2 linked regions of the Canis lupus familiaris genome follow. The protein of the gene in region 1 purifies or fractionates together with the protein of each later gene. This does not show direct contact. Links are inferred from orthologs where the notes say so. Each region holds a gene or a part of one and is shown on either strand. Other genes may lie near its edges.

Region 1 (4,030 bases):
TCAGGATAGAAGGCAAAAATCAAAATATTCTTTAGTTACACACAGCTCAGTAAGTTGTTCATATAAATCCAACAACAGTTGAATCTGCATACACTGAGTATAAAATGGGACTCTACTCTGAATCACTAATCAATTTCAGTATAGGCAAAAAAATCCCCTGCAAATCAGGTAAAACATAATTCAGCAAAGTTTTAGAATGCACAGACAATGCACATACAAGGGTTTCTCACCAATTTTAAAAGACTATGAAGTTAGGTTCAAATCAATTATTCACAATGGCAACCAGGGGGTGGTGGTGGCAGTGGCGGTGATAGTGAGAACCACCCAGGACACAGATCACAATCTTGGAAGTTACACAAATGTAATTTGAAAACAAAGCAGGATGTATCCCTTTGGCTTTTGTTTCAACATAGCACTTATTTTAAACTTTCAAATACCATTAAGGTAGAGTCTTAAGTAGTTTACGTTTGTCAAAGAGGATTAAAAAGTTTGAGAAACATCATTCTTATTTTATGGAAAACACACAACATAAAGAAGATACCATTTATAAATTCTGTATTCTTACACAGTGTTCAAGTGTCTTCTACACTGTAGTCTAGGGCTTACCTCAGGCTTCTGTTTGCCCCCACCTGGGCTCCTGTCCCTGGCTGTGCATGTCTTTATTCTTTATTCTCTTTTCCAGAAGAAAAGGATAGGGGAATCAATGGTAGTGTGGCTGGCTGAACTAACATTCTACAACCGACAGCTAAACAACTCAAGCCATCCTCTGGGCTTTCAAGCTCTTCTCCTTTAGCTTAAGAGCCAAAAGGCAGAATGCCAGTCTATTTCACTGGGCATGCCAAGATTAATAAGCTCTAGTTCAACTATTCCACATATTCCAACCAGGACATCTCTACTAGGACTGGCCATTCTCCCTAATTCTCTTCCCCACCTAGACCTTATGAGAGTACTTTCCCTCCTCATTTTAAATGTAATGTAGATAGGGAGTCTGGGTAGCTCAGTGGTTGAGCGTCTGCCTTTGGCTCAAGGCATGATCCCAGGATCAGGGACAAGTCCCACATCGGGATCCTTGCAGTAAGCCTGCTTCTCCCCCTCTGCCTGTGTCTCTCAAGAATAAATAAATAAAATCTAAAAAAAAAAAAAAATTAATGTAGACAGTGGTGGGGGAAAAAATGGTCAATATTGAACCAAACTGGTAGCAATATCACACTTTAACTGAAGAGACAACACAAATTATAGAAAAAGCCTAAGGGTCAACCATGCAGTATTGGGATTAATGCATAGTACAAAATCCTCCTCTATAAAGACTTAGAAGTAAATAGGGTATATGCTAATTGAAAGAAAAAACTATAAATACCTGGTATGTTTCCACAGGCCTGTTTTCCATATTTAAGTCCCAAATTTTGACTGACAAATAGTCTCTAGTCATCATATATCGACCACTATGGCTGAATTTTACATCGGAAATCGAGGAGATGATTTCAGAAAAAAAAGACCTGTTACTGGGATCTTCAGGTTCTTCAAACACTAAAAACAAGAAAAAAAAAAAAAAAAAACACAAGTTGTAGAACATTCTGGCTTCAACAAAGCCCTTGCTGAGACAACCATTCACAAACCTCCTAAGAGTGAGCTAGAGATGATAGGCTAGTACAGAACTGAAAAACATTGACTATAAGAACATAACCTCCCTGTAAGTTTCTTAAGGGGAATGACTTAACATTGACTTCAAAGATACAAAGTATATATAGTATGCTCCAGGGGCCTACAGCTGATTTAGCAGAACCAGGCACATCCAGGACTTCGGACTTCAAAGTGCACTGGGTTTGTTCTGTATATACCTCAATGACTTTGCCTGTACTGTCACCACAAGGGAACACACCACCCAAATGTATACCACATTTTATTTTATTTTTACATTTTATTTTTTTTTTATGGCCAGGTAGAACTGTTTTGGTAACAGACATGTACCAATTTCCATGAATTTAAAAAATACTCAACAACATGAAGACAATAATAATGCAACCCCTTAATTTTTTAACCCAGTGCTTTTTCAAACTTTTTTTTTTTTAAACCAAGGAAATCTCTTCTCAGAAAAGTCTTCCTAGAAAGCTCAAAACAGAAAGCAATAAAGAAAGGGTGGGAGGAAAATAGAGAAGGGAGGTTAGGAGGGAAGAAAAGAACTACTTTACTTGAGACCTGGAAAGCCCAACCCCAAGTTACTCGAAAATAACATTCCATTTGATCCCTGGGTGGCGCAGCGGTTTGGCGCCTGCCTTTGGCCCAGGGCGCGATCCCGGAAACCCGGGATCGAGTCCCACATTGGGCTCCCGGTGCATGGAGCCTGCTTCTCCCTCTGCCTGTGTCTCTGCCTCTCTCTCTCTCTCTGTGACTATCATAAATAAATAAAAAATTAAAAAAAAATTAAAAAAAAATTCTTATAAAAAAAAAATAAATAAAAATAAAAATATATCCACTGAGACATCAACAGACATGCTCCCAAGAAAGCCTTTTATGTTCTTCCAGTAGAATAACATACAATGTCTCATGTAGAGTCAGAAAGCTTACCAAAAGGTACAGGAGGCCCTGCGCACACAGGTTTTTAGACTTGTAAACCTATCTAAGTTAGTCACAGTTTCAAAAACAGAAAACAGCACTTGAAAAAAAGACACAGTATACTTACGTTTAGAATGCCTATCACAGAGGGCAGAGGCCCGCATGTCACATAACCGAATAGTTCCTTTACTGCTGCTGTATACAAACGTGTTGCAGCTGTTTGGATGGAATTCTGCTGCCGTAATCACCTCAGTTAGCTCTTCCATATTGGCAGGCTTGATATCCACAATATCTGAATAGCATTTTATTAAGGAATTTCCACTTAAGAAAAAGGGCAATATAATTCTACATTTCTCAAACCTAAAATTCATTCATAAACTTAAACACAAATATTCATTCTGAATTGGATTCTACTCCTTATAGGAGTATAAATCCCAGAGGAATCAGAACTTCTAATGCTTGGGGAAAAAAAAAACCTCAGAAGAAATCATGTTAAAATAAGAGGGGCCTAAAAAAAAAAAATAATTAAAAGAGGGGCCCTTTTTTCTGAGTATGATACAAATCTCAGAAGCCATAAGGAAAAGACTGGTAAGTTTATTTTCCTAAATATTAATAGGACTTAGTGTACATTCCAAATAAAACAAAAGTAAAAAACTTTAAGGGGGCAAAAAGGGGAACCTATCTGCACCACAAAGGAGTGGATTCATTTAATAACAAAAAAGGTGCTTTAAAAGAATTACCCCCCACCAAAAAAAAAGAATATATATAAACCCAATTAAAAAAACTAGAAAAGAACAAAAAAATATATAAATGGTTAGTAAATAGGACTTTCCACTAACTAGACTGGTAATGCTACACAGAAACAAGCTCTTTTAGATACTGTGGATAGAGTATAAATTACAGTAAACTATTGATTTTTCAAATGATGTCTACTTAAAAATACATAAAACAGTAACACTAGCAATAATAACTGCAAACACTTCATAACAGATATGAATTTCTTTGGTAACTCTACTAAGAATATTTTTGTAATTACATTTTTAATGAATAGTACTCCATAAATTTGTTTTATAAAAAACTCAACCATTAAAAAAATGCCTATTTTTATAGGTATAACAGTATTTAATATACACGGTATCATAGCAAAGTACTTAGTATGAAGTACTAAACTTAGTCTAATAGTACTTAAAATACTAAGAATCCTATTAATACATTATGCTCTTTATCAAAGAACTTCCCTCACTGTCTAGTCACTTAAACACAAAGAAAAAGGGGCATAAAGTAAGAAGCTACTATAAAGAGAATAAATAAAAGGAGAGATGAAAATAAATGTAGTATGGGCACAACATGCCTTCTTTACCAAACACCAAAAAAAGAAACCAAATGGATACTAAAACTCCTGTCTGTGATCTCCAGATGCCAAAGATTAATCCGTAAATCGTCTGCAGATAAATATGTTTCATAATCACTATTAATA
Region 2 (4,474 bases), on another chromosome or scaffold:
ACCGGGCACCGGCTACACCCGCAGCCGCAGCAACAGCCGCGGGAGCCCAGAGGAGAGGCGGGGGCCACAGCGAGCACCAGAATGTGCCCAGGGTACCCCCGGCTCCCCCCCGCCCTCGCCACCCTCCGCTTCCTCGGATCCACAGCAGCCTCACGCCGGTTTACCATCTGTCATTGGCTGGGCCGGGACAGTCTCCCATTGGCTGGGCTGTTGCCAGGGCAGGAGAAAACCTTCCTTTGTCCTGCTGGGAAGGTAGCAGTGTGTTCAGGAGCAAGGGGCGCACCTTCCTGTGGGGTCTGCAGCGGTCAGTGAGTGGTGGGAGTGAGTGCTCCTCCTGCCCGCCTCCTGATGCCATTCTAAAAGGCATCGTTTTACTAATTTTTACGCCCTGAACTGCTATTGTTATTCCCAAATAAACCCATTTTTTGCTAGTGAAATAACAAACTTTCATTTTCAAGGTTAACACGGCCCAGGAAGTCAAACTTCTATCTCCATGACAGGCCAGGAAACCAATGACTTTTGTAACAATCACCCTCAAGGGTCTGGACTTCATCAATAACAGACAGCTTTCCTAGTATCTGTCCCCACCTCCTAGAGAAATCCAAACGTGCTCCCCCCACAAAGCCACCAGGGCGGCTGGCTCCTCAGGCTGCAACCCCATCAGGGGCCCTGGAAGCCCTTCCAGTCCGACTCCCCTGCCTGTCCCCAAGTGTCTTTCTGCAAGCCAGAAGGTGGCCCAATCCCTGGTGGCAGCCACTTCCAATAACAGCCTTTGCTCTTCTCATGCAGGCGCCTTCCCCTGTTTCCGCAGCTTACTGTACATAATTGGGAAGAACATCAGAAAGTACAAGACAAAAATCACCGTGGCCGACTCATCAGAGAAGCAGTCACCACACAGGTTCTTCCCAGCATCTCCCTAAGCAGCCTCCTCTCTGCATGAGAGCTCACTGCGAGCTGTTCTTGGTTACTGCATTTTCCATGTCAGCAAAAGCCGACCCTCAGGATAAACACAGCGCAGGAACTGAGCCTTACTCCCTGCATTTGTACCACTCACAATCTCCTCAGTTACAGTGATGCTCGGTTCCGACCTGGGGCTTTATTGACAGGCACATGATCCACATTATCAAGCTGCTTTCTAAGAAGCAGAATCAATTCACTCTCCACCAGGATTTTCTGTATGGACTTCCTCACATTTGCTGGCAAGTCCCCCCAACCACCACCACTTCACCCATTATCCCTGCTCCATACTCCTGCCACAAACCCAGTTCACCACCCCGGGTGTAAACATTATTTTCAGATTCAAAATAAGCAAGTCAAACATGTAAGCTGTGGTATGTCTGACAACCAAACACGATCCAGCAACAAAGTTCACGCTGATCTACGGAACGAGAGCAAACCTCGGACACCACGCCTAATCACAAAGCAAGAACAAAGAAACAGGTACCCTATAATTCTGTTCACATGAACTTCGAGAAGAGGTAAAGCTAACCTAAGGTGTAAAATAGCAGAATGGTTGCCAACGGAGGGGCAGGGATGGTCTGGAGGTCTCCAGGATGATGGAAATGCACCCTATCTAGACAGGTGCATGGTCCTGGTCAGATTCACACAACTGCACAACTACTAACTGCCCACTGCATTGTATTAACTAAATGATACCTTGGTTACAAAGAAAAATACAGAATCCAGTTGACGGGGGAGGCTACCACATTCATTTAAATTGAAACCATTTTAGGTAGTGCCTCCCGCGCATCACTAAGCGCTGGATCTCACTCGGCATGCCAGGACAAGTATGTGTTCAAAGTCACTCTAATTATTCCCTTCTGATGTTCCAACCCCTGAACAACTGTTAATTTTTGTTACGCTCGGGACCAGCAAGCGCTAGCCGATTAGGATTTCAGAAGGAGTAGCCGGAGGGCAGCACATCCAATTCCAGGAGCCGATGGAGGGTCCCAGAGCCTGTGTGGAGGTGATGCGTCAGGCTGAAGGGGGCCGGAGAGCCTCACCCTCCCCACACAGTCGTGTTCACAACAAAGTCAGCGCGAGGTGGGCACACAGACCCCCGGGGCCGGGCTGGTCCAAGTTACAGCTCCTGGGGCAGCCCGTGACAGTGGCCTGGGGCTGGACGTTTCGAAATCAGCACACAAGACCCCACGCTTCCCAGGCTGCCCTAACTGCAGACCCAGACTCACCATTCAGTTCTGAACAAGAAAGCGCTGGTATTACCTCCATCCCCCCACACGCGGCCAGAGGGTCCTGCGGAGTTCAATCCCATCACCTCCTCAAGGTTAAGGGTGTTTTGCTCCAAACCCTCCAACGTCAGGGGACAAGCAGGCCATGGGTGTTCAGCCCTAGGTCAGAGCACAGCAGCCTCCAGACCAAGGGCTGATGGAGCAGAGATCACGGGAGGGGTCCCGCGTGGCGGGTGGGGCCTGGGGGGTGCTGTGCCCATCCGTCAGGGCGCCCCCAAGACAAAGGGGACCTCCCCGTCCTGCAGCGGCTCTCCCGTATGTGCCCAGCAGCCCAGGCTGCCGGCAGAGCCTGGGGGGCCTGGGGCAGCCTCGGCCCTGACCTGGCGCATCCCTACGACCTTCAGCCACCCGCAAGCTCGCTCCTGACTCAGGTCTTTCAGGCAAAATAACGTGAACGCTTCGGTCACACGCTCAGGCGGTCTCCGAAATATGTCATCCCAGAAGACCGGCAGGCAGGGCGGCTGCAGAAGGGCCTGGGGTCCCCGCGGGGCGTCTGCCGCGGCTGCTGCTCCTGGGCCTGGGGTGAAATACAGTGTCTGGGCCTGGAAACCCGGTCCGGACGCTGGGGGACACTTCCTGGCGCCCTTCCGAGACACGGTTCCTTCTCGGGAGATGCTAAAGCGGGACTTTGCATCCTGCATTTCCGCTTCGGGTGGAAAACACGGCAAAACTTGCCCAGAAAGTCCGTGCCCCGGGCCGCTGACCGCCCCCGCCCCGCCCCGGCCCGGCCCGGCCCGGCCCGGCCCGCAGCACCCGCGCCCCGAGGCCCCTCGAAGCGGTGAGGCCGGGACACAAAGGACAAGGAGCCGGCGCGCAGGTGGGCTCGGCGGGAGGGCAGGGCCGGGCCGCGCGGCGACCCCCGGGCCGCGGGCCCCCCCGACCCGCCCCCGACCCGCCCCCGACCCGACCCGGGGCGCCCGCCCGCCGCTCACCTGGCCGCCGCCGTCCCCGCCGTCCCCGCCGTCCCCGCCCGAGCCCGAGCCCGAGCCCGAGCCCGAGCCCGCCGCCGACCGAGGGGCGGGGCCGCGGGGGGCGGGGCCGCTCCGCGCCCACAAAGGGTCGCCAGGCGCCGGCCGCCCCGCACGCTGATTGGCCGAGCGCGGGGGCGGGGCCTCCGGTTCAAACCGCGGGCGGGGCCTGGCGCGAGACTTCCCGCGCGGACGCGTCGGCCGTTGGGGCCCGGCGCTGGCCACACCCCCGCCCGCCCCGCCCGCTCCCAGGTCTCCGCGCGCGGCCCCGGCGCGCCTGCGCAGGAGCGGGGGGGGGGAGGGGGCAGAGGGCAGGGGAAGGGAGAGGAGGGGAGAGGACGGGGAGGGAAGGAGGGGGAAAGGGAGGAGAGGGGAGGACGAGGAGGGGGGGAGGGCAAGGAGGGAAGGGGAGGCAGGGGGAGGGGGAAACGGAGGGGAGGGGAGGGGAGAGGATGGGGAGGGAGGAGGGGGAAAGGGAGGAGAGGAAGGGAAAAGGGGAGGGGGGGAGGGAGAGAGGGGAAAGGAGGAGGAGGGGAGGGCAGGAGGGGGAGGGTAAGGCAGGGGAGGGCAGGGAGGGGGAAAGGGGGAGGGGAGGGGAGAGGAGGAGAGGGAAAGGACAGGGAGGGGAGAGGACGGGAGGGAGGGGAAGGGAGGGCAGGAGAGGAGGGGGATGGAGGGGAGGAAATGAGATGGAGGGGCGAGGAGGAGGGGAGAGGGGCCCTGAGAAGAGGGGTGCAGGTAGGAGTCAGAGCGGTGGGCGGGAGGGAAGAGGAGGGGGGGCAGCGGCTCGCGGACAGCCTAGGACCACAAGTACTTCCTAGTTTGTTTTGTTTTGTTTATTCATGAGAGACAGAGAGAGGCAGGCTCCATGCACCGGGAGCCCGATGTGGGACTCGATCCGGGGCTCCAGGATCACGCCCTGGGCCGAAGGCAGGTGCCCAACTGCTGAGCCACCAGGCGTCCCAGTACTTCCTAGTTTACATGCAAGAAACGAAACCCTAAAAGTGCAAAGCAGGGGAGGTTTTGTAAAAATAATTTCTTAGTGGAAAAACGTCTTAAATAGAGCACGAGATCCTGACGGCATGAATTGACGCAACGTTGCCTGAGCGCAGGCTGGGCCGCAGTCCTGGGTGAGGGCCCCTGCGCCCTGCTGTCTGCTGATGGGGCTGAAGACATCAGGCCCCTGCACCCCACCCAGGGTGGGAAGTGCGGGGCACCCTGTGCAGACAGCGAAGTGGGGGGAGTCCCAGGCTGGAG

The links.
Region 2: the proteins of PPP2R2A (region 1) and CDCA4 purify together in Homo sapiens (affinity purification with mass spectrometry; 4 studies listed by BioGRID and IntAct, with this or other methods). This does not show direct contact. The link is inferred for Canis lupus familiaris from reciprocal best matches to the Homo sapiens genes PPP2R2A and CDCA4.

What each region holds. Positions count from the first base shown.
Region 1 is NC_049246.1:31,374,617-31,378,646, forward strand, and holds part of PPP2R2A (serine/threonine-protein phosphatase 2A 55 kDa regulatory subunit B alpha isoform), read right to left. Parts: coding exon 3,945-4,030; intron 2,846-3,944; coding exon 2,681-2,845; intron 1,528-2,680; coding exon 1,358-1,527; intron 1-1,357. UniProt on the Homo sapiens protein: Substrate-recognition subunit of protein phosphatase 2A (PP2A) that plays a key role in cell cycle by controlling mitosis entry and exit. Involved in chromosome clustering during late mitosis by mediating dephosphorylation of MKI67.
Region 2 is NC_049229.1:72,871,979-72,876,452, forward strand, and holds the start of CDCA4 (cell division cycle-associated protein 4), read right to left. Parts: upstream 2,927-4,474; 5' UTR 2,891-2,926; coding exon 2,570-2,890; intron 2,504-2,569; exon of another isoform or gene 2,193-2,503; coding exon of another isoform or gene 2,190-2,192; intron 1-2,189. UniProt on the Homo sapiens protein: May participate in the regulation of cell proliferation through the E2F/RB pathway. May be involved in molecular regulation of hematopoietic stem cells and progenitor cell lineage commitment and differentiation.